Linked DNA regions of Arabidopsis thaliana. The protein of the gene in region 1 interacts with the protein of each later gene in a pairwise test. Each region holds a gene or a part of one and is shown on either strand. Other genes may lie near its edges.

Evidence for each region.
Region 2: the proteins of AT2G02410 (region 1) and PKP-ALPHA interact in a two-hybrid assay, tested with the Arabidopsis thaliana proteins (one large-scale study listed by BioGRID).
Region 3: the proteins of AT2G02410 (region 1) and MYB70 interact in a two-hybrid assay, tested with the Arabidopsis thaliana proteins (one large-scale study listed by BioGRID).
Region 4: the proteins of AT2G02410 (region 1) and AT5G37670 interact in a two-hybrid assay, tested with the Arabidopsis thaliana proteins (one large-scale study listed by BioGRID).

The regions. Positions count from the first base shown.
Region 1 is NC_003071.7:629,271-637,398, reverse strand, and holds AT2G02410 (yacP-like NYN domain protein), read right to left. Parts: upstream 4,766-8,128; 5' UTR 4,687-4,765; coding exon 4,525-4,686; exon of another isoform or gene 4,513-4,524; coding exon of another isoform or gene 4,495-4,512; intron 4,191-4,494; coding exon 4,119-4,190; coding exon of another isoform or gene 4,115-4,118; exon of another isoform or gene 4,000-4,114; coding exon 3,875-3,999; intron 3,772-3,874; coding exon 3,608-3,771; intron 3,527-3,607; coding exon 3,318-3,526; coding exon of another isoform or gene 3,249-3,317; exon of another isoform or gene 3,223-3,248; coding exon 3,139-3,222; coding exon of another isoform or gene 3,070-3,138; exon of another isoform or gene 3,060-3,069; coding exon 3,021-3,059; intron 2,942-3,020; coding exon 2,786-2,941; 3' UTR 2,405-2,785; downstream 1-2,404. Other genes in the region: AT2G02400 (NAD(P)-binding Rossmann-fold superfamily protein), read left to right, coding at 4,950-5,414, 5,495-5,986; GSTZ1 (glutathione S-transferase zeta 1), read right to left, coding at 6,444-6,551, 6,810-6,869, 7,026-7,087, 7,234-7,309, 7,396-7,449, 7,608-7,679, 7,775-7,881, 8,046-8,102.
Region 2 is NC_003074.8:8,135,104-8,143,945, reverse strand, and holds PKP-ALPHA (Pyruvate kinase family protein), read right to left. Parts: upstream 4,762-8,842; 5' UTR 4,578-4,761; coding exon 3,975-4,577; intron 3,876-3,974; coding exon 3,785-3,875; intron 3,680-3,784; coding exon 3,486-3,679; intron 3,294-3,485; coding exon 3,172-3,293; intron 3,032-3,171; coding exon 2,553-3,031; intron 2,477-2,552; coding exon 2,175-2,476; 3' UTR 1,894-2,174; downstream 1-1,893. Other genes in the region: AT3G22961 (Paired amphipathic helix (PAH2) superfamily protein), read right to left, coding at 1,137-1,808; ARFC1 (ADP-ribosylation factor C1), read left to right, coding at 6,433-6,624, 7,223-7,582; AGG2 (G-protein gamma subunit 2), read right to left, coding at 8,279-8,363, 8,453-8,497, 8,578-8,630.
Region 3 is NC_003071.7:9,902,810-9,910,039, forward strand, and holds MYB70 (myb domain protein 70), read right to left. Parts: upstream 3,224-7,230; 5' UTR 3,016-3,223; coding exon 2,086-3,015; 3' UTR 1,697-2,085; downstream 1-1,696. Other genes in the region: AT2G23270 (uncharacterized protein), read left to right, coding at 502-762.
Region 4 is NC_003076.8:14,965,564-14,972,081, reverse strand, and holds AT5G37670 (HSP20-like chaperones superfamily protein), read right to left. Parts: upstream 3,325-6,518; 5' UTR 3,048-3,324; coding exon 2,634-3,047; 3' UTR 2,491-2,633; downstream 1-2,490. Other genes in the region: ARLA1A (ADP-ribosylation factor-like A1A), read left to right, coding at 984-1,021, 1,497-1,578, 1,679-1,833, 1,933-2,094, 2,168-2,285. UniProt on the Arabidopsis thaliana protein: Possesses chaperone activity.

The DNA.
Region 1 (8,128 bases):
TCTTTTTCTATTTCATCAAAAAAAACTTAGGGGGTGGTATTCGTTTATGATTTCAAAAGAGTTTTAGTAATTTAAACTGTCATGTAAAATCTGTTGTTATTCAATAAATTTTTTTTTAAAGTATGTTAAAGTTTTGTGTTATTCATTTAAGATTTGTACAAAGTAATCTAAAATCTTCATAAATTTTGGGTTATTAGATTCATACTCTTATAAAGTTATTGAAAGTTTTGTGTTATTCAATTAAAACAAAGAATCTTTGATTGTTAATGATTTAAATTATTATGTTATTGGTTCATGACTTTCGACATTTTTCTTTACAAAATGAAGTCATGGAAAATTATGAAAAATATTATCAAAATAGAGAGATTGTTTGAGAAACTTTACAAAATTATGAAAAACTAATCAACAAAATTATAAAAAAACTTTCTAACAATCGTTAAAAATCTTTCATTTCTTTATTTTTTAGGATTTGATTGAAGTCATCAAAATTCCTTGTAAATTAGGAACCAATAACATCACCTTAAACAGAAAACCAAACCGGAAGTTATTCATAAACCGTTTGTTTTTCTGATCTGTAAAACAAAACGAAATAGTTTAACCAAAATCCAACCGGAAATGTATATACTTACCAAACCTATATCCTATAAACCAAGATAATTAATGACATGGAGTGTAACTACCTACGAGTGGGAAAAAAGTCCTTAGCTCAGGTTGTCAGGTATCAGAGTGAGTGGTTCGGACATTAAAGCACAGAGAAATCTGAAATCGAAAACACAGAGAAGAAAGAAACGATGGCTGACGATAATGGCGGGCCGATCTCCTTCCGCCGCTTAGTGGCATTCCATGCCATTCAGTTCTATTACAAGGCCGCTGCTTCATTCTTGTTCACGTTCTTCATCCTCCCCAAGCTCGGTGCTTTTGTCTCTAATCTTTTCTGGGATGTTTTTGTTGAAAAACGACTTAGTGTTATTGCTTCGATAGTCTGTTTAGCTGTTGTGGTCCGCTACTTGTTTCGCAACGACGACGAATACGTGGAGCTTGCGGATCAGCCTGTTTATCAGCCGGAAGATCTTACATTTCCTCCACCAGATCTTCAGTGGTATCCTCAGTGAGTAAAAAGGAAACACGAAAACTGATAGAGATGATTAAGTTGTATTATCCCTTACATATCTTAGTAGTTTATTTTATGTTCATGGTACTTATGTCGTTTGGTAGTTGGATTATGTTCCTTAACCGTCTCTGTTATTAATTATCCATCAGTTTTAAGTACAAATTTCATTTCAGCTATGGTGTATAAATATCATCACATTAATCAATCCCTTGAGACTCAAAGACAACATACAATCCGGAAGTCCATGTCTAAATCCAATTCGCCATCTAAGCTATAGTGAATTTCAAACAAAGCTGCAGAGGCCAATCCACAAATTTCATGGTACGCTAGTCCGTGTAGTGTTCAGATAATCTGTAGAGGTACTCGCACAGTACGCTCGGTAACAAGTTGGTGTAAGCTTCCTCAACCGTCTGCAAATCATTTACACATGAGTTATGCAATTGTTCATCTTGTTACCAAGAAAAAGAAGTCAAATATGAAACAAGTATATGCAATGAAGCAGATGTTGTTGAAACATAAGAACTACTCTTTATCGAACTGTGTTTGGTAGGACCTAATAGCATTTCTTTGATAGAGACAATGTGAAAGTTTCAGGTGCAGCAAAGAGGAACAAAGAATAAAGTTAAAAAAGTGATTAATGTTCGTGCAGCTAAAGTACCTGTTTCAGCTCATCTATGTCTTTGCCAGACTTTCTGATAAACGGCTGTAATTTCCCTGCTCATGACATGTGACCAGTAGAATAGAGATGATACGTATACTTACTTCACCGCACCATATCCAACTGCCTCAGCTGTTTGGTTCAGTTCCTCTGGTGTCTATTCTTTGTCCTTATCTAAACAGAGAACAACATATAAGGATGGATAGACCAAATAATAACTGAACAAGTGAATGGTTCGACAATTCAAAACGTAAAGAGTGCTGACACAAAGTTAAATTTAGTAACAGCAGACAATCCATTGACATGAACAATATGCAAATTCAGATCAACTTCAGCAAATACAGACATGGAAAGTCATTAATATATGAGATCTATTTTCAAAAGATCACTTGCTATTTCTTTACCTTTTCTTCAATCTCAACTCGAAGTCGAAGGCATTGATAAGCCTTTGCAAACTCAGTTCTTCAATCTTCTCTTGAATCTCTATCCATTCTCGATAAACCATATGCTTTGATTGATTGGAGACTGACCAGAACAAACAGCTCAAACCCTGGAACTATCTGCAAATTTGTAGACTTGCTCTGCCTCCAATTCTCTCTACTGCTTCAAGTGTTACTGATGTTTGTGTTTGAAAATAAACATCCAAGTTTTTTTACATAAAAATTTGGTTCATTATTCAACTAAAAATTTACATTTTTACATTATTGTAAAATAATAAACATAGGTTATTAGGTTAAGATGATTCTTATGCATGAAGCTAAAAGAAAAATTCAGAACTATCTTTTAACCATATGTTTGGACCAAAGAAAACGAATCTATATATAGATTAGTCAAAAAGAATTCAGACACAAATACAACAATAACAAAGCATTTGAGCTCTCTCTCTCTCTATCTCCCTCGTTTCCTCTGCAGCCTCTGTTTTTTACAAGTCAGATTAGCTTACTTACTTGGGACAGAAGTTACATGGAGAGACCAAGCCTTGTTAATTGTTTATATAATCCGGATTGGTCTTTTTGTCATCTCTTTGTTTCGTTTTCTGATAATTTGTCTCTAAGATCTTTAAGAGCATCAACGACTTCAGAATCAAGATTGTGTTTAAGCAATCTCCCTTGGAAAGATGTTGACCTTGTTTCTTGCATCATTTTCTCAACCTCCTTATGCATCGATTTAATCTACAATATCATGTTTCACAAAATCAAAATCACAAACAAAAAAAAAAGAAGCAAATTGCTTTGGTGATGATCTTCATACCTCAGAAACCAATGCCTTGCTACTCCAAATATAAGCTCCCTGTCAAGAATCAGTCACCAAAATCAAAAACAAGATATGAACATAACGAGTTTATAACATCGATATGATGCCCCAATACCGCTCCATGTGCTGCTTGTTGTTGACAGACATCAGATGTTACAACCCAAACCTTGGGGCATCCATCTTCTCTCAATGCAACCACCTATCAATATCAGAAATGAAGAAACATCAACAATTATTCTCGTAAAGCCGTCTATTTGAACAGGCTTTGGGGGTAAAGAGATCATTTTTCCTTGCCTCCTTTTCAATCCAAGCGTCAGCACAAGTTTCTCCTGAGAAAATCACATCAACACTGGCCAAAAAGGATAAAACTTTTTGAGTTGTCAAAGTAAATAAGGATATCGAAAACAGACAGAAAAGGGCCAAATGACTGTACCCTGCAAAGTCTTCCTTGTGAGTAGGAAGACCAGACATGAGAGCATCAAACACAACCACTACCTTAACCTCTACAACAATTTCAAATCAAATTGTCTCATTACTCATTAGCCATAGATGAAATCAAATGTAGATTCGTCCAAAGTTTGTACCTTTAACCATACTGAAGGACACAAGTTCATCAACTAACTTCTGCCGAGCAACGTCAAGCCTTCCTTTCATGAAATGTTTCTTTAACTTCATCCAATATCCACACACATTATAACCATCAACAAGCAAAACCGGAACTGCGTCATCCAATAGACCTTGGTTCGTGCTGTAAAACCCCTTTCAGGGAATCACAAACATTCCTTAAACTTTCAAACCTCAAAATACATTCTAAAAACAATATGAAGATAGTAAAAATAGAGTGTAATTACTAGTAAAGCGTATTTGTAGGATCCCGGTAGAGCTCGCTATCATCCGGTAACTCGTCTTTCTCTACTTTCTTCTTCCTGTAACTAGTCGCTGGCTTAGCCATGCCAGATCCTCTGCTCTGAAACTCCTACAATATATATCATACAATTCCAAAGATTGTAACTTAGACAAATTCTTGAACACTAATAATGTTTAGACTTAGACACAGTAGTAATGAAACAAAAAGATCACACTACTACTACATGCCTTCCATAACTTGAGAAGCTGCAAGTTATGCTTAACATTGGATTTGATTCTCGGTGGTTCTGGCTCTGACTCCTGCCATCAAAAACCAAAATCAAGTGAATGGTTTGCAAAATGCTCAATGAACAATTCATCATATCCGTAACTCCGATACTAGAGATCTAAAAGGAACCAAACAGAGAAGAATTTCAGAATTCAATTATTCAATTCAAATCAGTAAACCAATTGATCATAAACCAAGAAGAAAAGACTGGCAAATCCATTTCAGAATCAATTCAAAACAATGAATGTTATGATGGATTAGTTGATCACAAACCCCCGCTTCGAATTCTCAACTATTTTGGATTAAAAAGAGACTTTTAGTTCTCAAAGAAGAAACCTTTACATAAATGTGCATCTATGTGTGGACCTTAAAAGAAGAAGATTGATGAGGCTTCTTGCTTTTTCCTCCCATCTTCACCACCAAAACTCTACAGCTATCGTAAGAACAAGATGATGAAGACCAGTTAAAGTATACGGCGGAGGAGGAAGAGGAACCACCTCTCTGCGGCGGCGCTCCGGCGGTCTTCATCTATTTGACTACTGAAGAATTGAAAATTCTCTCCTTTTTTTGAAAAGTCTATAAAACTAGTGGATAATATCATGTCAACGTTACGCTTTTGTATCAACGCATTATATCTTTAAGAGAGAAAAAAAAATCCATTTTTTACGTGTAAGAAAAAAACAAAGGATCCTTTTTTACTGGAAAGATGTTTTTTTTTTCTTATCTTCTGAGATAAATTGCGATAGAGAGAGAGAACAAAAAAATTCTCAGTGAGCGCTTATTGATCAACAATGGCGAAAGAGACAGTGTGTGTAACCGGAGCTAATGGTTTCATCGGATCTTGGATAATCCGAACGTTAATTGAGAAAGGATATACTAAAATCCACGCTTCGATTTACCCAGGATCCGACCCGACTCATCTTCTGCAACTACCCGGATCCGATTCTAAGATCAAGATCTTTGAAGCGGATCTCTTAGACTCTGATGCAATCTCCAGAGCTATTGATGGATGTGCGGGAGTGTTCCACGTGGCGTCACCTTGTACGTTGGATCCACCGGTAGATCCAGAGAAGGAGCTGGTCGAACCGGCGGTTAAGGGAACGATCAATGTGTTGGAAGCTGCTAAGAGGTTTAATGTGAGACGCGTGGTGATCACGTCATCTATCTCCGCATTGGTTCCTAACCCTAATTGGCCGGAAAAAGTTCCCGTCGATGAGTCGTCGTGGTCCGATCTTGATTTTTGCAAGTCGAGGCAGGTTCGTTAAATTTCGGTTTAAAATGGTTAGTGATGATTTATATGATATTTGTAACGATTGGTATATAATTTTGATTTTAGAAATGGTATCCAATTTCGAAGACATTAGCTGAGAAAGCAGCTTGGGAATTTTCGGAGAAGCATGGAACCAACATTGTGACGATTCATCCATCAACATGTCTCGGACCGCTTCTGCAACCGAACCTAAACGCAAGCTGTGCTGTTCTGCTACAGCTTTTACAAGGCTCGACCGAGACGCAAGAGCATCACTGGCTCGGTGTGGTTCACGTGAAAGATGTGGCTAAAGGTCATGTGATGCTATTCGAAACACCTGACGCTTCTGGACGGTTTTTATGCACTAATGGGATTTATCAGTTCAGTGAGTTTGCTGCTCTTGTGTCTAAGCTCTTCCCTGAGTTTGCTGTTCACAAGTTTGATAAAGAGACTCAACCTGGGCTTACGTCGTGTAATGATGCGGCTAAGCGATTGATTGAGCTCGGGCTGGTTTTTACTGCGGTTGAAGATGCGGTTAAGGAGACGGTCCAGAGTCTTAGAGACAAAGGCTTCCTCTGAGAATGTATGATATATCTTTGCAAATTTCAAAATCTGTGACCTTTATTGTATGATACAAGTAGAGAAACTAAGGGCATCTCCATTCATGAGAAACCCATAAAGTTTCTCAAACAAAAAAAATATTAATATTATATTATAATTTGATTATTTGATTAAAAAAATATTTTTATTAAAAAATTGAACCAATAGTGAGATGAGAATTGTCATGATAGGTTGTTGAGAGTATCTTAGAGTTTCTCAAGTGAGAAACTTTCTACACTCTCTCTCCTTCATTTTCATTATTTTTATTTTTTTAATTGTGAGAAACTCTTATGAGATACCTCCAATTGAGATGGTATAATATACGTAACTGGTTTATATGATACATGTATGAGTACAAGGTATTATTATTATCATTGTTGTTGTTGTTGTTGTCTGAGGTTTTATTAAAGTGAGAGTAGCTTATGGGTTCACAGAATCAGATGGTGGAAGAAGGAGCATCTGGCTGCTTTTCCGGTAGTGCATTTTGAAACGCAGGCAGTTCGTTGTATGATTCGTAACATTTTGCAAGAGTTGGGTACGGTTCCTATAAAAGAGAAATACATGTTTTACAACATTGTAGAAACAGAAACCGAATGATGCAAATGAGAAGTTAATAAACTGAGGAATTCGTCTATGTTACTACAATATGAATATCTTTGTGAGTGAGAGTGTGAGACAGAGACAACATATAATTTATGCTACCATAGAACTGATCTAGGATTCCGGGGGAATATAGTACGCAAAAATCTAAGCCTGAAATAGTGTTGGGTAGCAAAAGAAAAATTCAGAGAAGGAAAAGTACCATGTTAATCTGGAATCTGTTGATTGCTCCGTGGATCTGTGGTGCTAGAAAGAGATCAGCCTGCAAAACAATGCTTCATGGCTTTAACAATTGTCTACTTGCTGGTTTGTATAATAAAGGGTACTATGCTAAAGTTACCAAAGAATCACTGACTTGAATCTTAAATGTTACGAAGATAGCACCATAAAGAAAATCCAGAGAGGTTTAGAGTAGTACCAGGTAAATTTCATCACCAGTCGCATGTTTCCCAGCGCAATTCACCAACAGTTTCTCGAGAGCTGAAAGAGAAAGGAGACATAATTAGATAGGTCACTATAAAACTAAAAACACTAACATATGTCTTTTTCTTGATCACGTCTCTGTATCTTACTACTCATGCCAATGACAGAGTGTTGCAGATTAGGGTAGATTAGAGATCGCATACCTGTAAATCCTTTTGTGATAGCATTATTAACCCAGGCAGTCTTCTCCTCCACATTTATCTTTTCCTCGATATACCTCTGTAAAAAAATCGAAAAATGTAGCTAAGTTTACTCTATCTAGAACAGTAGAATCTAAGAAACTGACATCAATCTCATGTCCTCACAATAACAGCCAGATTTTGATGAGGCTGTATGCCAGACAAGACAATACTCATTGCCTGCAATATACAAAATAAAAAATGCATCAGAGTGGGAAGCAGGACAATCTAAGGTGATATTGTTCATGGAAACACATGTAACAAAGTATGATTCAAAGAAAGAAACCGAGAAACCAAGAGTTGACCCGAAATACCAAAAGACAGAAAGCTTGAAATACCTGGTAATTCACAGCTCGTTTATGGAGGTCACGAGGTAACAAAGGTGGCTCAGGGTACTTCTCATCCAGATACTGTCAACCCAATCACCACAAAACCGAAGATCGATGAAATGTTCTTTTTAATCAACAATACCAAAAAAAACTTAAATGGATGTGTTACTACTGACCATTATTATCGCAAAAGAATCATTAATCACAACATCTCCATCCACCAGAGCTGGTACAGTTCCCATTGGATTGATCTTCTTGAAATCTTGAAGATCAAAACGATAAACTTTCAACACAAGAACCCAAACCATCAGTAAATGATTCATAAGCACATTTCAACATTCTCATCCACATGATTACTTACTTACTTACTATAATAGCTTCTACACTTTTTTCAAATCAAATTCAATATAACCTTTGAATCCGAATCAAAAACAAGAAACTACGAACCTGAATCGAATTGATCACCCTTGAGCAAATTCACTGGTATATACTCATAATCAAGCCCTAAAACAAAGTCAACAAGATCCAGA
Region 2 (8,842 bases), on another chromosome or scaffold:
TATTGAACATAGAAACGATTGGTCAAGAGGACCCCAAAACTTTCGGAAAGATATTAAAATGAACCGTTGTGACAAGTAAGTCCGTAAAAGTAGTTTATATCACATTTTAGAAATTTTATCAATTGCCAATTTTTTTTTTGAATAACTTTCAAAAAGATAAACAGACATTTGTTCTTTTTTTTTGTAATAGAAATACTACTTTTAAAAAGAAATTACTATTTGAGATAGAGCTACGATTTTTTTATTCTTTCGATCAACACTTTTTATTTATTTTAAATTAAATTTATCAACTAGTTCTGAGGGTAAATTTATATATTTGAACCTAAAATAGAGATATTCTTGGAAAAAATAACATATAAGTGTAGTAGTTCTACAAATTATACACAAATAAGTGATTGTTTTTGTAACTCACAGCACCATCTTTTTTGTTTCACTCGAGGCCTCGACCAAAAAAATTTGGTTTAACTTTGATTGGGGCGAACTAATATATCTCTCTCACCGGTCCATAGCAATAACAACATCAAAAAGCAATATATTGACGATGATTATATATTCGAAGATGTTGGGTTAAAACCTGCGGGCCTAAATGGGCCAAACATTAGAAAATAAGCCCGTCATCCTTAGAATGTAGAATCCCGAGTTTACGTAGCAAGCAAAGAAGGCATCAATGTATAAGTGTGTTAAGTGTGAAAATTGACGAAAATAGGCAAAAAGGACAAGAACATTTAAAGGCATTGTGTTTGTTATGTTTATGGTATCAGAGTCTTTTAAGAAGTTTTCATGAACTTTTTGATAACCAAAGTGTATCAGAAGTTTTCATAAACTTCCTAAACACGTTTTTAAATCAAGTGTGCATAAAAACTTTGAAAAAGGATTCATTACGCCCTCCTAAGAAAACAACGTTTTTTTTTTTTTTTTGGTGAATAGAAAACAACATTGGAAGACTCGAATGCAAAGAAACATAACGAGATTCACAATCACAATCACAATGTAGCCACAAATCAATAATAAAAAAAAAAGACTAGAAAAATAAAAGAAACAAAACTCTCTTCACTTGTTCACATTGCTCTTTAGTTCTTGACGGTCATAGCTTCGTTTTTACCTTAAATTCTTTCGCATCAGTCATCTTCGTCTTCTTACTCTTGCATCAGTCTCTTCTTCTTCACTTGATCCAGATCATACTGACTCTTTGAAACGTATTTCCCATTTAAAAACTCATCAGAGGATGATAATTCCTCTTCAGTTTCAAGTCTAGTCTTATACTCTTCTGCCCCCGCCTCAAAACCACGTTTCGGTTTTTTGAGTAAACGGGAATCAACTAGAAACAATATGAACTCCTCTTTAAGAGATGCGTGATCGCAGAGAATCACGTCGAGTTGTTCAACCAAATCCACAATATCACCGCCAAACACCAGCTGATTTAGGAACGCACCGTGTAAACCCTTTCCCAAACCTTCCACTTTCTTCATCAACTCAACCGTGCGTTCTACGTCTGATTTTGCCGAGTTACAATCCTTCTCTGTGATAGGTGAATCTAATAGAAGAAGCTGATGGAATTCTTGGAGCAGAGCGTCGTGGTTACGAAGAATAGAAGCGACTTTGGTTTTGAGATCGATGTAACTTAAAGACTTAGATCGATAAGACTTCATTGCATTTAAAAATTTAACGATGATTGTCTTATCATCCAACTCTTTAACTTTTTTCACGAACTCGCAACTCCGTTGAATCTCTTCTTCCGAACAATCCGACGGAGTTTCATAAAAATCTCTCTCTTGATTCTTCATCCGAGGTCTCTTGCAACTTTTCATGTTTGTTCAAATATCTTCTCTAATGGAGAGGCGATTCTAATTGTGATTATATATACACTATTTATAATATAGGGTTATGGTATATATTCGAACTCATCCTATTTGGGTTTACATATATATCCTAACAAAAAGATAAAACAAAAGGACTAAATGATAGAATCGAATATTTGAATAAGATTACTGATATTATTGAAAACCAAAAACAAACAGTACACACTACAAACAAAGCTTACACATTACTGTTGTTAACAAACCGAAGATGATGATGCCTCTGGAATCTAATGTAAGAGTAGTCTAAAAACAGTAACAAAAGTAGGAAACAAAACACTCTTTTGCGGGATTGCGAAATTGTATAAAGAGAGAGAATTACGGGACGTTCATTACCTGGATTGATTGCAGCATGTCCGAGACTGCGATCACGAGGTCACCAGATTTGATCATACCTCTTGATTTCAGTAACGAGAATGTTTTGTTCAAGTTGCTTTCCATGTCGTCTGAGAAGCTGAGACGGAATGGGATAAGTCCCCATTGTAGGTTTAAGCGTCTTCTCACTGAGGTTGTGGTTGTGAAAGCAAAGATCGGGCAGTCCGGGCGACATCGGGAGACCAGTGATGCCATGTGTCCGCTCGTTGTGTAAACGAAAACCGCGTCCACTCCAAGATTGTTAGCTGCAAGTTTTTGGATAGTAAAATGAGACACTAAAGACATATTGCCTTCTATGGAAAACAAAGAACCTAAATTTACCCATTTTAGCAGCTGAGTTACAGATCTCTTCTGAGATTTTGTCTGAAAATGAAGAGCCTATGGCTTGAAGCGGTACAGACTCATGGCGTTTCTCTTCCCTCCACCATCTCTCGATTCTTAAACTGACAGTCCTTAGAACCGTGAGCGCCTTGTCTGGGAATTGTCCCATAGCTGATTCTCCAGAGAGCATCAATGCATCTGATCTTTGTCTTACTGCTTCAGACACGTCGGCAACTTCTGCTCTGGTTGGAGTTGGGTACTCAATCATGGACTCCAATAGCTGTGAAGCGACAATGACGGGTTTGTTAAGAGCTCTGCATACTTGGACGATTCTCTGTTGAGCTGCTGGAACTTGCTCAAGAGGTATCTGAGCTCCCAGATCTCCTCTTGCAACCATGGCCCCATCTGATGCTAGAATAATTTCTTCCAAATTGGTCAGTGAATCGATACTCTCGATCTTTGCAATCACTCCAATTTCCCTGCATCATAGTTGAATACAACATCAAAATAAAACTATAACTAAAGATGGTGAATACATGACGCAAAACCCAATCCCAAAGTAGATCATATGTTTCCTGTACAGTAGTATGATGTGTTGATATTGAGCATGTTTACTTACCCTCCACGGGAACGAGCAGCAAGATAACTTTTAAGGTGATTAATGACTTCAGCCGACTTGACAAACGATACAGCAATGAAATCCACACCTTCAGCAATTCCAAAATCAATATCCAACCAGTCCTGAATATAAAGAATTGAGGTATCATCAGTGAAAATGAGTATGTTTTCCCTCAGGTATCATCTGTTTTGCTAACATGGACTCATCTAGTTTCCAAAAGTGTACATCTTCACCATTGCTTTGATCCCTCCCAAATTTACCAAGTAAAGTGAATCATAATTCAAAGCTTAAAGGGAAGATACAAAATTACAAACCTTGGAAGAAATTGTTGGAAGCATGGCATTACGCTCTCGTACAAGACTTCCATCTCTCCAAAACGTCAAGTTAGCTCGAGGAAGCAACAATCCAGGATCGGTACATAGACACTTAACATCAGGACCAATCTTCTCAATCACTTCAAATCTCACCATCCCACCATCAACCAAAAGTTCATCCCCAACTCTTACATCTACACCACACACAAAGACCAAATGATTCCTATTTCATACGCAGTCACCATAATATTCATCTAATGTTTTCACTTCCACTTTTACATAAACATAATTGCATATACCTTCAGCGAAACCATCGTAGCTAACACTAATGGTACGTTCAGGACGAGAAGAATCAAAAGCTCTAACAGTGAAAGTCCAAACCTCACCATCCTGTAAAAATGTCATCACCACCAAAGCTTAAACATCTAAATCACAAACACAGCAATGTCTACATCGAATTCAAATCAAAATAAGAAGAGATTAAACAACCTCTGCTTTAGCTGAAGCTTCACCACCAAGATCTCCCATATGAATCTCACTACCTTCAGTATCCATCATAATAGCAACCGCAAAGCCTTTCTCCTCATTAAGCCTCCGAACACTACGAATCACACCGCGGTGCCAATCACGCGTACCGTGACACATATTAAGCCTTGCCACATTCATACCTCCCACAGCAAGCGCCTCAAGCTGCTCAAATCCACAAGTCGCCGGTCCGATCGTACAGATCAGCTTCGTCCTCCTCGTACTTCTAAATCCATTCTCCTTAAGCTCAGCTTCCGTCACAGTATCAACCTCAATCCCAGACGTATCAGTCGTAACCGCCGTAGCGACAACGGATCTCTCATCAGACTTCACAGCACCAGTACCGTTAGGTGAGAGAAGTACTTGCGAGGATGATGATGAGGACGATGAATCGAGATCCGGTGAAGGAGATGATGACGAGGAGGCTCTGATGGAAGTGTATTTGATGGTTGTTAGAGGGAAGCGACGGAAGGAGATAGAGGAGAGAGGACGGTTGAATTGTGAGTGAGGGAGATGGAGAAGGTGAGGAGTGTGTGAAGGAGTGGAGAATTGAATAGACTGAGACATGGTTTCGCCGGCGACGGAGGAAGAGAGATCGGAGAAATCGAAATCGAAATCTCAGGACAGTTGGCTCTGAGGAGAATGAAGGCGGAGATATCGAAGTGTGAGAGTGTTGAATTTGGATTTTTTTTTTTTTTTCTGATATGATAGGACTTTGGGAGAGAGGTTATATTTGGAATATTTGTATTTGTATTTATATATATATTCTATGTTTTGGTGCCGTCGAGGCTGTATGTAAAATAAGTGTACCTACCCACCTAAGAATGATCAAATTAGATTTTGTGATTATTACTATTATTATTTTTAATAAAATATTAAATTCGACCAAGAAAAAATAAAGTTAGGATACATCAAATGTAACTTTTCCAAAATTGTTTTGAAATTAGATTATACAAGAGAGGTTTTAAGGACTTTTAGATGCAAACCATGTTTGGAGATTTGGTTCGTATCTACTATATTTCTCCTTTCAAATGATTGAGAGTTTTTTTTTTTTCCAGCTTATCTATTCACTTAGGAAGATGTGTGATAAGAATCAGAGTTTTATTGTGTGTTTTTTTTATTGCGTTCTCGCCAAATCGAATGAACCATTATTTGAAAACTGTATTAGAGGAAGAATATATGGATTCTGTTACAGTGATCAGAAGTAATAATAATGACTAGAGCTTGCCATATTGTAGAGAATCGTCACTAGAGTAGTGGTTTCGCTAGGGAGGACCAGACTGCCGACGAGTACTTACAGCTGAAAAACAAGTGCTCTCGTGTCTCGATAAGAGTGTTACATAACACACATGTTCGATTCAAGTTCACATTCCAAGCCTTCATTGAATCTAATGTAGAGAGTCGATTCCGCATTGCTAGCCATATACAAAAAGAGAACTATCAACTATGATAGGATCTAAAAAATCCAATTAGACTTTTCTAGAACTATTATATATATATATATATATATATATATATATATATATATATATATATTTTAAATCATCGTATACAATAACAAAAATAAGATTCGTTACCAAAATTAGCACAAATTTAATAATAAAATAATCAATATAAGCATTTAATTAACATTTCACACGATCGTATTATAACCATGATTTCAAATTATAATTAAATTTGTTATTTTAAATCCTCAATATAATTTACTTCTATTTAATTTTATATACTTCTGTGGGCCGAGAAAATGTAATTGTTATAATCTAAAATATATGGAAAGGCCCTAAGCCCGTTTGAGTTTTTTTTTTTCTCGTTTAAAAACATCTTTGTGGATTTCAAGTCTTCAACAATGTTCGTCTTTGGCGTCGTGGCTAATGGCGGTGACGTGTTCGGTGCCATTACGGTAGAGGCTGCAGCCGTTTGGGTAAGTAAAAGAAAACATTACTATATAGTTTTCATTTTAATATTTGTTATATTAAAAGTTATTAATAATTTAGATCATCATATTTACAGTTTTGACATTGTTTCCCGCATACTTTTCTTCTTCTTCTTCTCTCCACCCATCTGCTTTAAGGAAGGAACCTCAAAAGCTTACAAAATAGTAGAAGAAGAACTTTTTTTGATCTCCGATTCTTACCTCTGCAATCTTCAGATTCTAGCTGATTCAAGGTTTGATCACAAATTTCCCGATTTGTATATATATAATTTAGATTTGGTTAACTTTATCGAATCTGGGATCGTTGTATCCAAATCTGATCTGGGCTTCTCTGATTCAATTACTTGGGTTTGTAAAATTGATGGGTCAATTTAAAGGATGTATCTTTAGGGTTTCTCGATTTCACTCTGTTTGTAGAACAATTTGATCGTAAAAGTAATGATGTGTTTTATTTGATTAGGATCTTGTTTGTGATAGAAATTGGAGGAGATGGGAGCATTCATGTCGAGGTTTTGGTTCATGATGTTTCCTGCAAAAGAGTATAAGATTGTTGTTGTTGGTTTGGATAATGCTGGTAAAACGACGACGCTTTATAAACTTCATTTGGGTGAAGTTGTTACTACTCATCCTACTGTTGGTAGCAATGTTGAAGAGCTTGTCTACAAGAATATTCGCTTTGAGGTACTGGACTCTTTCTTTATTCATTTGGGTGAAGTTGTTTCTTAGCTTCTTATCTAGGGACGTGTTTTAGAAGTTTGAAACTTTATGGATGTTTCTTAAATTTGCCATTGCCATCTTTTGATTGTGTTATTGTCCCTAGCTATGTTTCTTGCTTGGGTGTGTGCATTTTTCTCGTTGAAAAATGGATGATGTTTTTGTCTAAGTTCTTGTCATGATTGGTTGAGAAGGTGTCAGAAACTCATAATGAACGTTTTCGTATGTGCGATTTATGGTTTTGTATAGTAAATTTTTGTAGATGTTGTTTATCTAGCTTGTTTGTTATACCGGAGGAACTGTTTGCTATTTCCCATTAGCTTAGTTTTTTTGCCAGAGGACTGTTTGGAACATCTTTATACAGTGGTCAAAGTCATGGCCTGAGATGAATTCATCTCTGTTTTATGACAATCTGCATGTGTTCTTATATGTCAAAACTCAATGATGAATATAAACGTAACTAAACTTACTAAAGTTTGAATTGTTTCCTGTCAAAAACTAACTGTTGGACACTGGCAATCGAATATTTGAGGCGATGTTTACTTTTATGATATGTTGTCTTTAGGTATGGGATCTTGGTGGGCAAGATAGGCTAAGAACTTCATGGGCAACATACTATCGTGGAACACATGCTGTGATTGTGGTTATAGATAGCACAGACAGAGCCAGAATCTCTTTCATGAAAGATGAGCTAGCCAGGTTACTTGGTCATGAGGATCTTCAAAACTCGGTCATACTAGTTTTTGCAAACAAACAGGATCTGAAAGACGCAATGACTCCTGCTGAGATCACGGATGCACTTAACCTTCACAGTATCAAGAACCATGATTGGCATATTCAAGCAAGTTGTGCGGTTACTGGAGAAGGATTGTATGATGGGCTCGGTTGGATTGCCCAAAAAGTTACCGGTAAAGCCACGAGTTAAGGGGAAACCAGAACTGAATCAGAGAGAGTACGTACTATTCTTCTTTGTTTCTTTTGTCTCCTTCATATGTTCTTTAACATTGTATCCTCTTGACTTTTATGTAACAAGCTTCAACTATTTTGGTTGCTCTCATTGAAACTGTGTCCAGAATTTTCATATATGGAAGAAAAAAATCTTGTTTTGTTTCAGATTTAAAACTACCACCAAACTCAAAATCCAAACGAACTAAAAACAAAAACAGAGCAACCATTAAAACAAGACAAGACACCATTGTAGCCTCTCTCAGAGCTCACCACAGTCTGCGATAACCACCGGCTTGGAAGGAATCCTGTTCAAAGTTCCAACCTCGTCTTCAATGCTCCTGAGCACGTCGAGTCCTTCAACAACTTGCCCGAACACGACATGTAAACCATCGAGAAACGAGAACTTTTCCAAGACAATCTGGAACTGAGATGCATTGGTGTGGGGATCACCGACGGCCACTGTGCTAGATTTTCTTGTGGTGGCGTGAATTTGGCACTGTGGTCTTCTTAAATTAAGAGACACATCAAGATCAATAGATTTTTTACTGCACAAATGAATCAATTTTTTTTTTTGCCAATTACATCAAATTCACTGCCGCGGGAACGTAAAAACACAAACTCACTCTTCTGGAAGAAGTAGAGACAAAAATATTTTGAGAGAAGGAAAGGAAGATCAAAGAATGGAGCAGCCACATCGTTTTGCTTCTTTAGGGCCTTCGAACCATTGATCCCATGTCGCATTCACCGGACCTGTTGTTCTGCAAGTAGTCACAAAAGCAAACATATCAGACCTAATCATCTCACAGTCTATTGAAATGAAACTATCAGAAAACAGAAGAAGAATTACTCGGGAAGAAGAGGATCGGGTTTGCTGTCAACACTGTCTAAGAACCTGCATCCATTCGAGAAACTAGTCAAGCTTGTGGAATGATTATTCGTGAACCGGATATCAGTTATGTAACAAGTTCTTACTCTTTGCAGGATGCTGATGCATTGTCCATCTTCTCAAGCTGCTCCAGCTCTTCCTGAATATAATAAATGAAGGAAGAAAGTTAAAACCTTGTAACGCTTTTAAGCAAGCATTTGAGTTCACAAATGTCATAACAGCTACGTAGACAAGAGCTTAAACCTCAAGGGATCAAGAGTCAAGATATTATTACACCTGAATGAAATATGCTCAAGAGCTTAAACTACATTTCAGTTTCACTCCTCACCATTCTTGAACCTTCCTAATTAC
Region 3 (7,230 bases), 9.3 Mb from region 1:
GAAGGAAGGTGAGGACATTAGGTTTTGTCACAATATTATATAGATAAACATAAAATACCATACTAGATTTGAATTCCACACATAGTTTATGGTCTACAACTAAAAGTCTATTCCAAACAATCAGAGACAAAATTAAAATCATTTAATTTCTTCAGCCAAATAACTAATCTCCATTCCTCGTTGATGGCTTTATATGTTCGCAAATTATATTTTTAAAAAGAAATTGGAAGACCAAGAACAAGAAGCAACCTCAGTATTTTCCCAGGAAGGAGCCTAAAATTCAAATCTCACGTCTTGTTGAATTTTAAGCTTATGAAGTCAAAAACTGAAAATGTCAAACTTTTCTTCTTCTTCAAGGCTCTTCACTTTACTATATATTCTAACTCCCAAGTCCACAAACTACTCACAACAAATTTAGTCATCTCATAAATTAGGGAACACAAGAAAAATAAAATAAAAAACATTTTTGTTTTTACTACTCAAAAATACCACTCAAAGAAAATGATGATGAACAAAGTTGTTTTGGGTTCGTTTCTGTTTTTCATGTTGGTGAGTTCGAATTTTGTGGTGGAGGCTCGTCCTTTGGGTTTAACGAAGGCTGAAGAGAACCTCGTGGCTAAGTTCTTCGATGGTTTGTCACTTGGGGCGATTAAGGAGTCGGGTCCTAGCTCTGGTGGTGAGGGTCATCGGTTCGTGGACCGGACTGAGACGCTTGAATATGGTAAGCATTCAGGTCCCAGCACGAGTGGACCCGGTCACTAAGTTCCCGACCGAACCAGTTAATGTGGCTGCTTTGGTCTAGCTCCGGAAATTGATTGCTTTGTTTAGTTTTTTTTCAGATTAATTATTCAGATTTTTCTTTTTATGCTTAGAACTTGGGAAAATCAAGAATTGGAAGAACCTCATTTGTTCTCTGTAGGAATATTCTTTTGTTAACTTATTGAAATTCATTTGATAATAATGTACAATGTAATATATATTGTAATTAATTTATTATTCTGATTATGTGAATGAATAACTGGATATTCATGTTTTTAATGAGTTTCAATAACAACATAGTTAAGCTCCAAATCCACAAAGCAAAAAGAAGCGACTTAACTTTAACCTTCTTCTGAGTGATAATCACCTAAGCTTACCTCTTTAACAGCTACATCCACTTCAACTTTAACCAAGAAATCGCGATTTCCGTGGAAATTGAAGTTAACCAATTCTTTAGATAGTTTCTGAAGGATGTTGTTCCGGATGGAGCTGTGGAAATTTGGCTTGGACAACAAGTTATACACATATCTAGTGCATATTTCTTCTCCATTATATAGGTAAACATTAGGAGCCTTACGTGCAAAGCAATTGAACCCATTTATGGACATCATCAAGCAGGAATTGATGCAAGTGTGACTCCTTGTTGTATTGTATGCCAAATTGTGAAAAGGAAGCATTAGTTGTAGCAGCTGCTATGGAGAAAGGTACCATACATCCTATTGGAAGGTATTTGCTTGTCAAACATCAGTAATCTTACACCGCTTGATAGTTATTAACACAATCAAACTCTTTCTTTTTTGCAGAGCCACAGTATTGGGAAGGACCTCCCTTGTGCTTTGAGTATTTCCCCGGTAGAGGCCTTACTGCTACAGTTAGTTGTATTGAGGTGATCTGTTCTACACTCTGTATCATTCATTGAATATCTATATATGATGTTGTCTCTCACACTATAACCTTTACTGCGATGCTATAGTCGGTAACCGAAGGTAACAAACTACGGAAATCGTCACTTGGTTCAGTAGAATTCATTACTTCACTCTTCGAATCGCAAGACCAGTCTAGAGAGATCAAGAATGCTGTAAACTCCTCTTTGTATGGAAATGACTTTGTTCATGCTCTTCTTTCACTTTATCAAAAGGTAACATTGATTCACCTCGAGGACCAGCCTCATCAACCCTTTTATAGACCAATTTCATTAAATCTAAGACATGTCATGATCAAAATCAATACATTTATTCAGTTTTTTTTTCGAATGAATCAAATCTCAAATCATGAAATTGGCTCTTTCTCTGCATTTGCTACACAATTCTTCTCTTTTCTCACTCACTACTCGATCCTACCTAATCCAATAAACTCTCTAAACCCTACATTACGACCATTAGTTCCTTGCACCATACACGAACTTGCTCCTCCTCCAGCTCCTCCGCCGTTTCCTAGCTGTAAATCCGCCATGTAACTCCTAACCTCCGTCTTAATCATCTCCTGCACCACCGTCATAAAATCTCCACCAAGTCCAGAAATCTCTCTTTCCTTCTCTTCTTCTTCTTCTCTCTTCACCGGAAACAACTCCGGTGGAGTTGTTGACTCATTGACCCAAGGCAAAGACAACCTCAAACAAGTCATCGGATCTTTCTCCTCCTCCTCCGGCGATGATGACTCAATCACCACTCCACCAGCTCTCGCCGTCGGTTTAAAAACATGACAAGAAGAAGAAACCGGTAAAACAGATCCACTAGATTGCGATTGCTCGCTGACGTCAGATCCCGTTGGACTTAACGCCGTCACCACAACAACTCCTCCTCCACCACTCGCCCTCCGTTTTAACGGTTTTTCATCAGTTAAATTACCATCATACCCTCCATTACCACCGAAATCACAACTCTGCCCTTCCTCTCCTCCGCCGCCTCCGCCGCTACATTTCCGCTTCAGCGTTGAGTTCCAGTGATTCTTAATCGCGTTATCAGTGCGACCATTGAGAAGCCGTGCAATCGTCGCCCACTTGTTACCAAACCGAGCGTGCGCTAGTATAATCGTATCATCTTCCTCCGCCGTGAATCCACGGTGCTCTACCTCCGGAGAAAGCTGATTACACCAACGGAGACGGCAAGATTTACCGGAACGTCCAGGGATTGATTTGCTTATCAGAGACCAGTTCCTTGGTCCGTGCTTCTGAACCAACGATTGTAACAGATCGTCTTCTTCAGGACTCCATGGTCCTTTGATCCGATCCATTTCTTTCCGGGTCGAACCAGACATCGCTCGGATCTTCTTTTTAATTTAAAACTAATCAAATCGTTTAAAACGCGTTTCTATTGTTTGGGGATTTTGGAAAAGAACGAAACGATTTTTGTTGAGAGGATAAGTATGAAGAGGAGAGAGTATTTATACGAGGTGTGATGGTTAGAGAGGTCACCGGTTCTACCGGTAATTTTTTATCGTTAGTTAACAACAACTTAATTTTTTCGTAACTGTAAATTGGATTATTTACGTGCATAATTATGTTTTCAACTGAATCAAATTGAAATAAGTTAACTGACACCAAATTAAATATGTAAGTATATGCCGTTTTGTTTTATTATTTTAAAATCCAGAAAACTGAAATTTAGTTTGAACCAAACAAAATAAACTCTAAACTAAAATTTATTAAAATATATACTATTAAACAAATTATTATGTAATGTTTTTTTAATGAATGTTAAATTATAACTAAACATGTACTGTATTTCTAACTATAACTAAACAAAGATATTAAACTAAAATCAAATCATATTACATCAAATTATAAATGCAAACCTTTTTCAAAAAATAAATTCAAATTAAAAATTCTTATATATTGTAGTTATGTAAAACTATTTAGAAAAACTACATATTTAAGTAATTTTGCGTAATTTCTAAATTGGATTAGTTATGAAGAAGATGTAACGTGAGTAGTCTGATACGTATTTGAATATTTAAAAGAGAAAGAAAAAAGCACGTCAGGGAGTGGCGGTGCGATTGGGGGAAATGCGTCTGAGAGAGTGAGGCTAAAATAAAGAGAGAATCTTTCCAAGAAAACGGTTGGGGATTTGGGAAACAGCTGTTAGTGGGGACAGCTGTCAACGAAATATGTAACTGTGTGTGATAGAGAGAGTACATTTTGTGGTACTTGAGAGCGTTTCACAGGTGGATCGTTTTTTTATTTAATTTAAATCATTTCGTTTTTAAGTTATTTCCTTTTTTAATTATCTTTTCTTTTTGCATTTTGAAGGTTACATTCTTTGTTTTTCCTTTGCATATCAGTGTTGGTATGGTCGAATTTTTGAAGATTTCTATTTAAACGTAATTAGATGCACATTAATTATCGTTGTCGTATCTAAAAACGTATTTAAGTTTTTTCGGTCGTTTTATTTGTCGGATTATAAAATCTTTAGTTTAGGTTGTGAAAGATTGACTCTTATCAAGACCGTCTTTACCCCATGGCAAATTAGGCAAATGCCATGGATCTATTACTGATTTTAAAAACAATCATAAGCATAAAAGGCCCAATTTTCTTAAAACAAAATTTTATTAAGAGATTTTAGTTTTTATTTTTATTTTGGCAAAGGCTCAATTATAGCTTGAGACGGGACTGTTTCTTATATCGATAGAAAGTAATTAATGTTATCTTTGGTTTGATCGCATATACTTAATAAATTTTATCCGTAGTTATTTCAAAATAAAGGATTTATTGATTCTGAAGACTAATGTTTTTTAAAGGGTTTGTGTTTAGTTGCTTATGATTTTAGTTGTTGGGTTCGGTCTCTTTCGATTTAAGTTTAAAAACTTTTGTTGGTATTTTCATTAGATTTAGAAAAAATTACGTTTTCCTTCGACTTTAATTATAAAATCATATATGTCGTGTGTCGTTTTAGTTTTTCTTTTTTGAACGTTGTATTTTGTATTGGTTTCACAACAAATTTAAGAATATTTTTATTTTTTATTTTGTTGTGTGAAAACACATTTTGTTTTCAATTTAAAAGCACTGAAACACAAACGTCGCTTTTTTCGAAATTGTATTTTGCGTATTGAATTGACGTATCTATACATATTAGAAACGTATAAGTAAAGTATCCATACTTATTGAGTGATTCCAGTTTCTTCTGTTTTTGTTTTTGATTTTCTGATTAAAAGAAAAATAAAACGAAGATAAGGATGACGTTAAAAGTGGTTTAGGTTTTTTGTTGGATTCTTCAGAGACTTTTCTGACTAAAGAAGCCAGCCTGTATGCCAATATTATTACTACTTTTTATATACAAAAATCAGTTATTTTGGATATTCAAAAAGATACTAATAAGATTCTTACGTAAATCGAAAACGACAGGATAGATCGATTAGAGTTTTGAGAGCCTATCGTTACTATTCATTGTTTGATATAAGCTAGTTTAACATGTCTAAAAGATTTATGTTGAAGTAAAGTTCATTTCCTTTGTCGTTTTATTTGTTGTCAACATGATACTCATATACAAAGGAATACGTTAAACCGTACATCAGCCGTGTACCGCACAAAAAACGTCGCCTGCACATGTTCCAATGCCAACATGAACCTTGTCGTGAGCTTCCTCATTCTCTTCTTTCAAGTTATAGTTAGATAAGGTAAGAGATATCGAAAAGAGTTCTTAAGATTCTGTTTAATTATCGAAGCCAAATTTTATAGATTAAACAAGAAGGTGTCATTAATGGAGATACGGTATGAGATTTTCCCTTATTGGTCCATCGTATCTACTACCAAATTCTTCCTTCCCATAATTGTATATACTATTACCACTAATCATTTATGTAGTTGGTATTTTCTTATTCAAATTAAATATTAATGACATTGACCGAGTAACATGTATAAGTGTATGTGTGGTCCGCAATCGTACTTGTATATCTCATTTACTAACTCTGCATCCCTTCACGTGAGATTTGATTAATGTTTCTCTCATTATCCTGATACCCTACACGTTTTCTGAATAAATCTACGAACATGAAGTGGTATGCATTGGAAATTTTTAGGCGTATGAGTGTTTTTTCCCCCATTATATGATATGTATCTCAATGTGCTTTTGTTTTTTTATGATTTTCAACTATAGTAGTTTTTCATGATAATCAATATGCTCTGTCCCTTGATGTATCATACAAGTATTACTTTGTGATGTAGTGAATGTAATACATTATTAAGTGGTACGTCCATCAAAGTATTATAAAACAATAGTTTTTTCCTTTAAGAAAGTACAACTTTTCATTACGAATTTTGAGGGAGAATGTATTGTAACTCAATTCTTAAAATTATATTCTTTCACGAGAAAGGAAATTATTCCGTTCGGTCTGTGTCAATTCCATTATATATACTCACATCGAGACGTAATATCTACTTTTGTCGAGAGAAAAGCATGTGACTGCCGGAACAAAAAAAGCATGTGACCATATATCTCTCAGTTCCTTGTAAAGCTATCTCTCGAAATGAGTTTATTTAAAAGTATTCAAAAGTTCTTTGTTCAGGTTCAATGTATGTGTGAGCATATTCCTTTGGCAATTGATATCTATTAAACCAAAGTCGGAAATTTTTGTAAGGATATTGAAATATTGTCTCAAGTATTTCGTTATCAGAAACCTTAATAGATATCGATCCAAGTTAACGAAGAAGATGTAACAAAACTAGATCATTGGGTGTTCTACAGTTCCCCATTAAACGAGAGAAGATACAAATGTAAATTCACGAGGCATTAGAAGTCAAAGAGACAGCTAATTCATTTGTATGGTTACACTTTGCAATTGAATGCAGGTTGTCGTCAAGTCAACTCGATAATATAGGTGAGATTTTGTTTTCGATTAGTATCATTATGTCATTTATAAAGTCAAACAAAAAACTATATTACTAGTTACATAATTTTGCCTATCTAGCTATTATATATTCACATTTAAATTGAATCTTTATATTTTACGTATTTAAAAAGAAAAACATTTCGCAGCCGTTTGATCAGATCAGTGCACGTGCGTCTTGTTTCCTACCGGTCAGGCAGAACAAAGAAAAATGATATGTGAGTAACCCAAAGTCTTAAACTTTCGTAGTTGGGTACTTGGGTTCTATGTGAAACTTGGTCCACTCATATTTTTTCTTCCGTTTAATAAGTACGTCGTATGTATGATATGAGTATATGACCCATTTATAGTTTCTTTAGATATAGGCCCATATGTGAGTACCTCGAGGACTATAACTAAGGTTTAATCGTTGATATAAGATAATATATAAAAAAAATTACTTCTTCTCATTCAAAAGGGATTCCTAATCAAAACTTAGTAACTCATGCATTTGAATTTTAATAATGGTCAATATAAAAGAAAATTTGATCTAAAAGAATTTGTGGCGTATTGAAAAAAAAAAAAAAAAAAAAGAACAACTATTACAAAGGTTTTTTGTCACGTCATTATGAAAAAGTATAGACTTCAATTTAAAACTATTTGGCCATAAAC
Region 4 (6,518 bases), on another chromosome or scaffold:
AAGAAAAGGGTGATTTAGCTGAATAACCATATTTGATAAACAAATTAAGAATATAGCACCATATATATAGAAATTAAGAAAATAGCATGCAAGGAGAAGGAAAAGACAATTTTAGTGTTGAATTGGAAGTGAGATGATTTAGTAACACTTAGTTTAGTTTTCACCTATTTATTTTTTTTTGCTATAAATCTTTTCCAAAAAATAGATTTCAATTATAAAATTTATTAGAAAAAAACATAGGTTTTTTTCTACATACAAAATAGTTTGAATTTTTAAAATCGAATTTGAATTTATAAAATAGTAAGTAGTGTTTGTAAGTAAAGACTTGTACTATTTTGGATAGAAATAAAATGTTGTATTATACTATTTTGGATGTATAGAAAACTATACCCTAAGATACAACTTTGGCAACCCAAGCAATCAGATAACATAAGTGGTATCTGAAAAATCTAGTTTGTTCTTTTCGTTTGTTTGTTGTGTTATACAGAAAAAAAAAAGAGAAGAGATTGAGAGAAAAAAAAAAAAAAAGATGAAAAAGAGAGGAGAGAAGGAGGAACTTAGAATAAGGTAGAGAGAAAGAGGTAAATATGCCATTATTATATATAATATAGAGAATATAGCTGTTTTTTTTTTCTTGTATTACTTTTTTAATTTATAAATTTTTGTTAGTTATTCTTTGCAAATTTCCCATAAAAGAAATAAAAGGAACACACAAAAAAAAAAAGAATGGTGACATCTAAAATTCTAAAAGCAACAATAGCGTGACACCAAGAGTGAAGGAAGAGACACCGTTTTCACAAACTGACAAATTCTATTACCTTAAGTAAGGTCCAGATTCTTCCCTGTTCCTCTTCCTCTCTGTTTCTCTCATTACCCATCTAGCAAAATTCAAGAATCGAACTAGGGCTACGAAATATTTCGATTTTGAATCTCCAAATCCAGAACTCGAGTGTTAAATCTTCGAAAAGATCAAATCTTTGGAGATGGGTCTTTGGGATTCACTTCTTAATTGGCTCCGGAGGTAAACAAATTTCTAACTTTCATTTTGTTTTGCTGATTAAGTTGGTTTATTAGTTGTAGTCCTTTTGTTCTTCCATTGAAGTAGTTTAGAGTTATAGTTCTGGGTTTAGTAAAAACGTTGCCAAAAACCAATTTTTCTCACAAAGAGTCAACAATTATTGTTTCAAAATCTCAAACTTCTCTTGAGTTTCTTGGGCTGTATCTTTTATTGTTACATTATATGAATTGGTTCGCTGAGAAATCTACCGTTATTTCTATGTTCTTGTGTATTAATTCTCTTGACTTGATTGTCATTTTAATCCATTTATAGTAGTGATGCTTTATGTGATGTTATAGAATGGTTAAAAGAGTAGGTTATAGTTGGTTAGTAATGTATTGTTGTTTTTGGTTATACTTATGTTTTTAGTGTATAGCAGAATCACGTTTTGGTAACACTTAGATTTTGATTCTGTGTTTGCTTATATTTGTTGTGTCAGCTTGTTTTTCAAACAAGAGATGGAGCTGTCACTCGTTGGACTTCAAAATGCTGGGAAGACTTCTCTTGTCAATGCCATTGCTGTGAGTAGAAATTTCATCAGAGGTTTTAGTCGATAAATAGTATTCTCGAACAAATCTAATCTTACGCGTTTCACTTCTTGTTTTCTTTGGATTTGTCAAGACTGGAGGTTACAGTGAAGATATGATACCAACTGTAGGATTTAACATGAGGAAAGTTACAAAAGGAAATGTTACAATAAAGATTTGGGATCTTGGAGGGCAACGAAGGTTTCGTACCATGTGGGAACGTTACTGTCGCGGTGTTTCCGCCATTGTGTACATCCTCTTAAAACTTCTTCGATATGTTTTGAACATCCCATGTTACTATTTGGTTAATAATCTTTGATGGTATATGTTGCTGTGGTAATATTGCAGATATGTGATTGATGCTGCAGATCGAGATAGTGTACCGATATCAAGAAGCGAATTGAATGATCTGCTAACGAAACCGTCTTTAAATGGCATTCCTCTTCTGATTCTTGGCAACAAAATCGATAAGTCTGAAGCTCTCTCTAAGCAAGCTTTGGTTGATCAACTGTAAGTTTCTTATTCAAAGTCCATACAAAACAATCTGGATTCGAGTATATGACTTTGGATTGTTTTGATGCAGAGGGCTTGAATCTGTAACAGACAGAGAGGTTTGCTGTTACATGATCTCGTGTAAGGACTCGATAAACATTGATGCGGTCATCGATTGGCTCATTAAGCACTCGAGAACTGCCACATAAACAGACACAACAAGCTCATTGGTCTAGAGGAAAACAAAGCTTGTTTTTGGTTTCTTGATGTTGTTTTATTTGTTGAGAATCAATCAGATGTAAATCATCAGCTTTTGGTTTCTTCTTGGTTTAAATCTTGTTTTACAATTCTTCAATGTTCAAATACTTTCGGTTCATGAAAATCAAAACCCGGTTTAATCCGGTTAAAACTTCAAAGCTTGCTAGTAATATTAACATCTTATTGGATTCCTAAATATTACATACTGGCATACTGCAATTCATTAGATTTATGAAATAACAAAGTCCAATTTTATTCATCTTAAGAAAACCAAAAACCGGTTTAACCCGGTTTAGACATCAAAGCTTGCTAGTAATATTAACATTCCTAACTTTAGACGATTTCGATGAAGTGTCCTTAGGAACAACAACTGTAAGAACACCATTCTCCACGTAAGCTTTAACTTGATCAACTTTCACATTCTCCGGCAACTCAATCCGCCGCAAAAACTCACTTCCACCACCGGAAAAAGCTTCTCTCTCCGCCACGTGCCACACCAAATTCTCCTTCTTCTCTTCCTTTATTCCTTCTCCTCTTATACTCAAAACATTCCCTTCTTCAATCTGTACTTTGATGTCTTCTTTGTTGTAACCAGGAACGTTGATCTTGAAGATATGAGAGTTGTTTGATTCCATCCAATCAATCAGAGCCGTTGATCTTGACCATTCTTGGAATCTTCTAAATGGATACAAGAATATTCCTCTGTCTGCCATATTCTTCTATCTTTCTTCTTTAGCTAAGCTTGTTTTCTAGAGATGTGTATATATGTTTGAGTGGAAAGTATTTTATACAGATTACAGAAGTCGAGACAGTTCTTCGTTATCTTGTTTCTTCTTCATTTTCTCTGACTCCAGAACTTTGGAGAAGCCCAGGGGGTTGTTATATGCTACGGTGCAGTGTATATTGATATGATGGATATCGATTGATTCTAACCGTTCGATGCGATTCTAGGATTTTTGTGATTATTTGGGCCTTTTATCTTTATCTGTTGTCCCTTTTTTTTGGTATATATATATATACTCTTCAATTTTAAATCTTGAAAAGTATTATATGTATAATATAAAAAATATATTATATTTAGATGTTCTCAAGTATAGAAAAATTAATATAAATTTCAAAAATAATTCATATACTCAAGATTTCATGAATAGCAACATATATTGATTTCAATCCTTTCTTTCTTTAGCTCTATAACATGATTTTTTGTTGTAATTTGTTTCCAGCTTTGCACGATGATGGAGAAACCGGTTAACATCAAGTTAAGAGTAACATTCTATGCAATCACGAAAATTTCACAACCCGAACAAAACTAAGTACAGTTGACGACTAGATATAAAACGAGTCATATCAGTCGTGAAAATGGAGAATTCGCAAGACTTAGACCAAATAAAGTGAAATGACTCTCATTGCCTACCTTGTGGCTAGTAGTCTCTTAAACCGGTGCGATACGTGTTTGGAGCTATGTGCGATTCATGTTAGGAACTTTGTGCTTCATTCATAACTTTTACATTTGAACCAATTGTTCTGTTGATGGATCCAAAATCTTTGGACCTTCCAAGTTATATATAAGAATTTTAATAGTTGTATTCACTAGTATAGTATAATAGATGAGTTATGGCTTAGACTTATTTATAGTTAGATCACTTTTGGATCTAGGTAGATTTTGACTGTCTTAGACTCTATATTTTTTGATAGATACGAAACCCACGGAACAACTTTGATTCGAATATTTTCATTTTCCATTGGGCAGAATAAGAATTCAAACAAAAGGTTAAACCCTAATTTGGGAGTTGAAGACTTGAAGTGAAGAGATTGGTGATGAATAGTTAATGATTTTTAAAAATTTTATAATATAAAGTATGATTTTCAAATTTGCTAACACATGTATCAAATACTTTGAGTGAAAGAGATAATCGACGTGTTAAATCTAATTTTATTAATATTTTTTATTTTTTTTAAAAAAGAAATTCTTGTATATAGACGTGTTAAATCTAATTTTATTAATATTTTTTATTTTTTTTAAAAAAGAAATTCTTGTAAAATCAAGTACTACTACTAATTATGCTAAAACGATGGCTCTCTCTCTCTCTGAGGGCGATTTTTTGCCTAACTCACACCGTTTCAATTCTCCTCGCCGGAGCAGTTCTCCGACCATCATAATCTGTCTCTTTTCACGGTTTTATGACGGCGGTTACTTTCTGCCAATCAGTTTCCATGGCAGTTATCATTGCCCTTCACTTTCGGAGGGTAACTACCCACACAAACCGCCATGGATACAAACTTATATATACTTCAATTCGCTCCTTCTTCTCCCTTTTCTGCAATTCACCATTTCTCAAACACTGTCATCCACAATCATGAGTGACAGACTTCGTAAATCGGTTCAGGATTTGAACTTGGGTATTGATGATGAACCGGTGGCTCTAACTTCAGAATTTTGTTCACAGGCTGCATATGTGAACCGTTTCTCCTTGGTGGTAACAACTGTGAATCCACGCAAACAGAACCTCCGTGCCTTGATAGGACAAATGCCACGAGTTTGGGGCTTTCCTGATTCGTGCGTCGGGCGGATTATTGACAAAGGCAGAGTTCAATTCAAGTTCCAGTCTGAGGAAGCGATGAATCTCGTGCTCCGTCGTGGACCGTGGTCATTCAACGATTGGATGCTTTCGATTCATCGGTGGTATCCAAACCTTAGCGAGGCTGAAATGAAGATCATTCCTTTTTGGGTACAAATCACCGGTATTCCTCTCCTTTTCCTTACCAATGCAATGGCTAGATGTGTTGGAAATAGATTAGGACATGTTGCTGATGTTGACTTTGATGAGAACTCAAACCATACGGGTTTTGTGCGAGTTCGAATCAATTGGAATTTGGATGATCCTTTACGCTTCCAAAGAAATTTCCAATTTGCTGATGGTGAAAACACTGTGATAAAGTTTCGTTTTGAGCGTTTAAGGAATTTCTGTACCAAATGTGGCTCCCTTAAGCATGACATCAAGGCATGCACCCTTTCCTTTGATAATGAAGATCCGGTGGAGACAAGTGATGATGATGATGCTGATGATGATGACGATCATCACGACGACAACAAAGAACATGACATAAGCGACACTGATACTCTTCAGACAGTGGATCCAGCGACTCTTATTCCCGGCCTTCAATCTTCGCTTTCAAAGGGGAATCAACGCCAGGTACAAAAACTTTCAGATGGTTATTCGGTTCCATGCGTCATTGAGGACACAGACCTCACAGTTGAAAGACTCCGCTACCTTCACGCCAAACTTGCAGGAGTTAAAACTGACGCACCGGTTGAGAAAGATCTGCTCCTTGAGTCCTCTGACAATGCACAAAATGAGTTTGTCTTCATGAAGAGAAAGAGGGTTCGATTTGAAGAAATGTACCAACAGGTGGAAGCTGCAGACGAAATGGGCGTTCTGAGTCAACTTTGCAAGAAAGGAAGAAAGACTGAATCTGCAGGATCGTGTTCGATACATGATGGACGTGACGGAGGCGCGGGGGGCCCGGTACCCCTAAGGGATCCAATATGAGGATCATCTCATGGAACTGTCAGGGCATCGGTATGCCGCTGACTCAATCACGGTTGTTTCGCTTATTCCGTATGTATAACTATGATATTTTATTTTTAGTTGAAACCTTAAACCAGTGTGATAAAGTATGTAAACTAGCATATGATTTAGGCTTCCCTAATGTAATAACTCAGCCCCCTAATGGAAGGAGTGGTGGCTTAGCTCTTATGTGGAAAAACAATGTCTCTTTATCCTTGATTTCTCAGGATGAAAGACTCATTGATTCTCATGTAACATTTAATAACAAGAGCTTCTACTTGTCTTGTGTGTATGGTCACCCTACTCAATCTGAACGTCATCAACTATGGCAAACTCTTGAAAATATCTCAGATAATCGAAATGCTGAATGGTTGCTAGTGGGTGACTTCAATGAGATACTTTCGAACGCTGAAAAAATTGGTGGTCCCATGAGAGAGGAATGGACTTTTAGAAATTTCAGAAACATGGTTTCTCATTGTGACATTGAAGATATGAGATCAAAAGGAGATAGATTCAGTTGGGTAGGGGAAAGACATACACACACAGTCAAATGTTGTCTTGACAGAGTTTTTATTAATTCAGCCTGGACTGCAACATTTCCATATGCTGAAACAG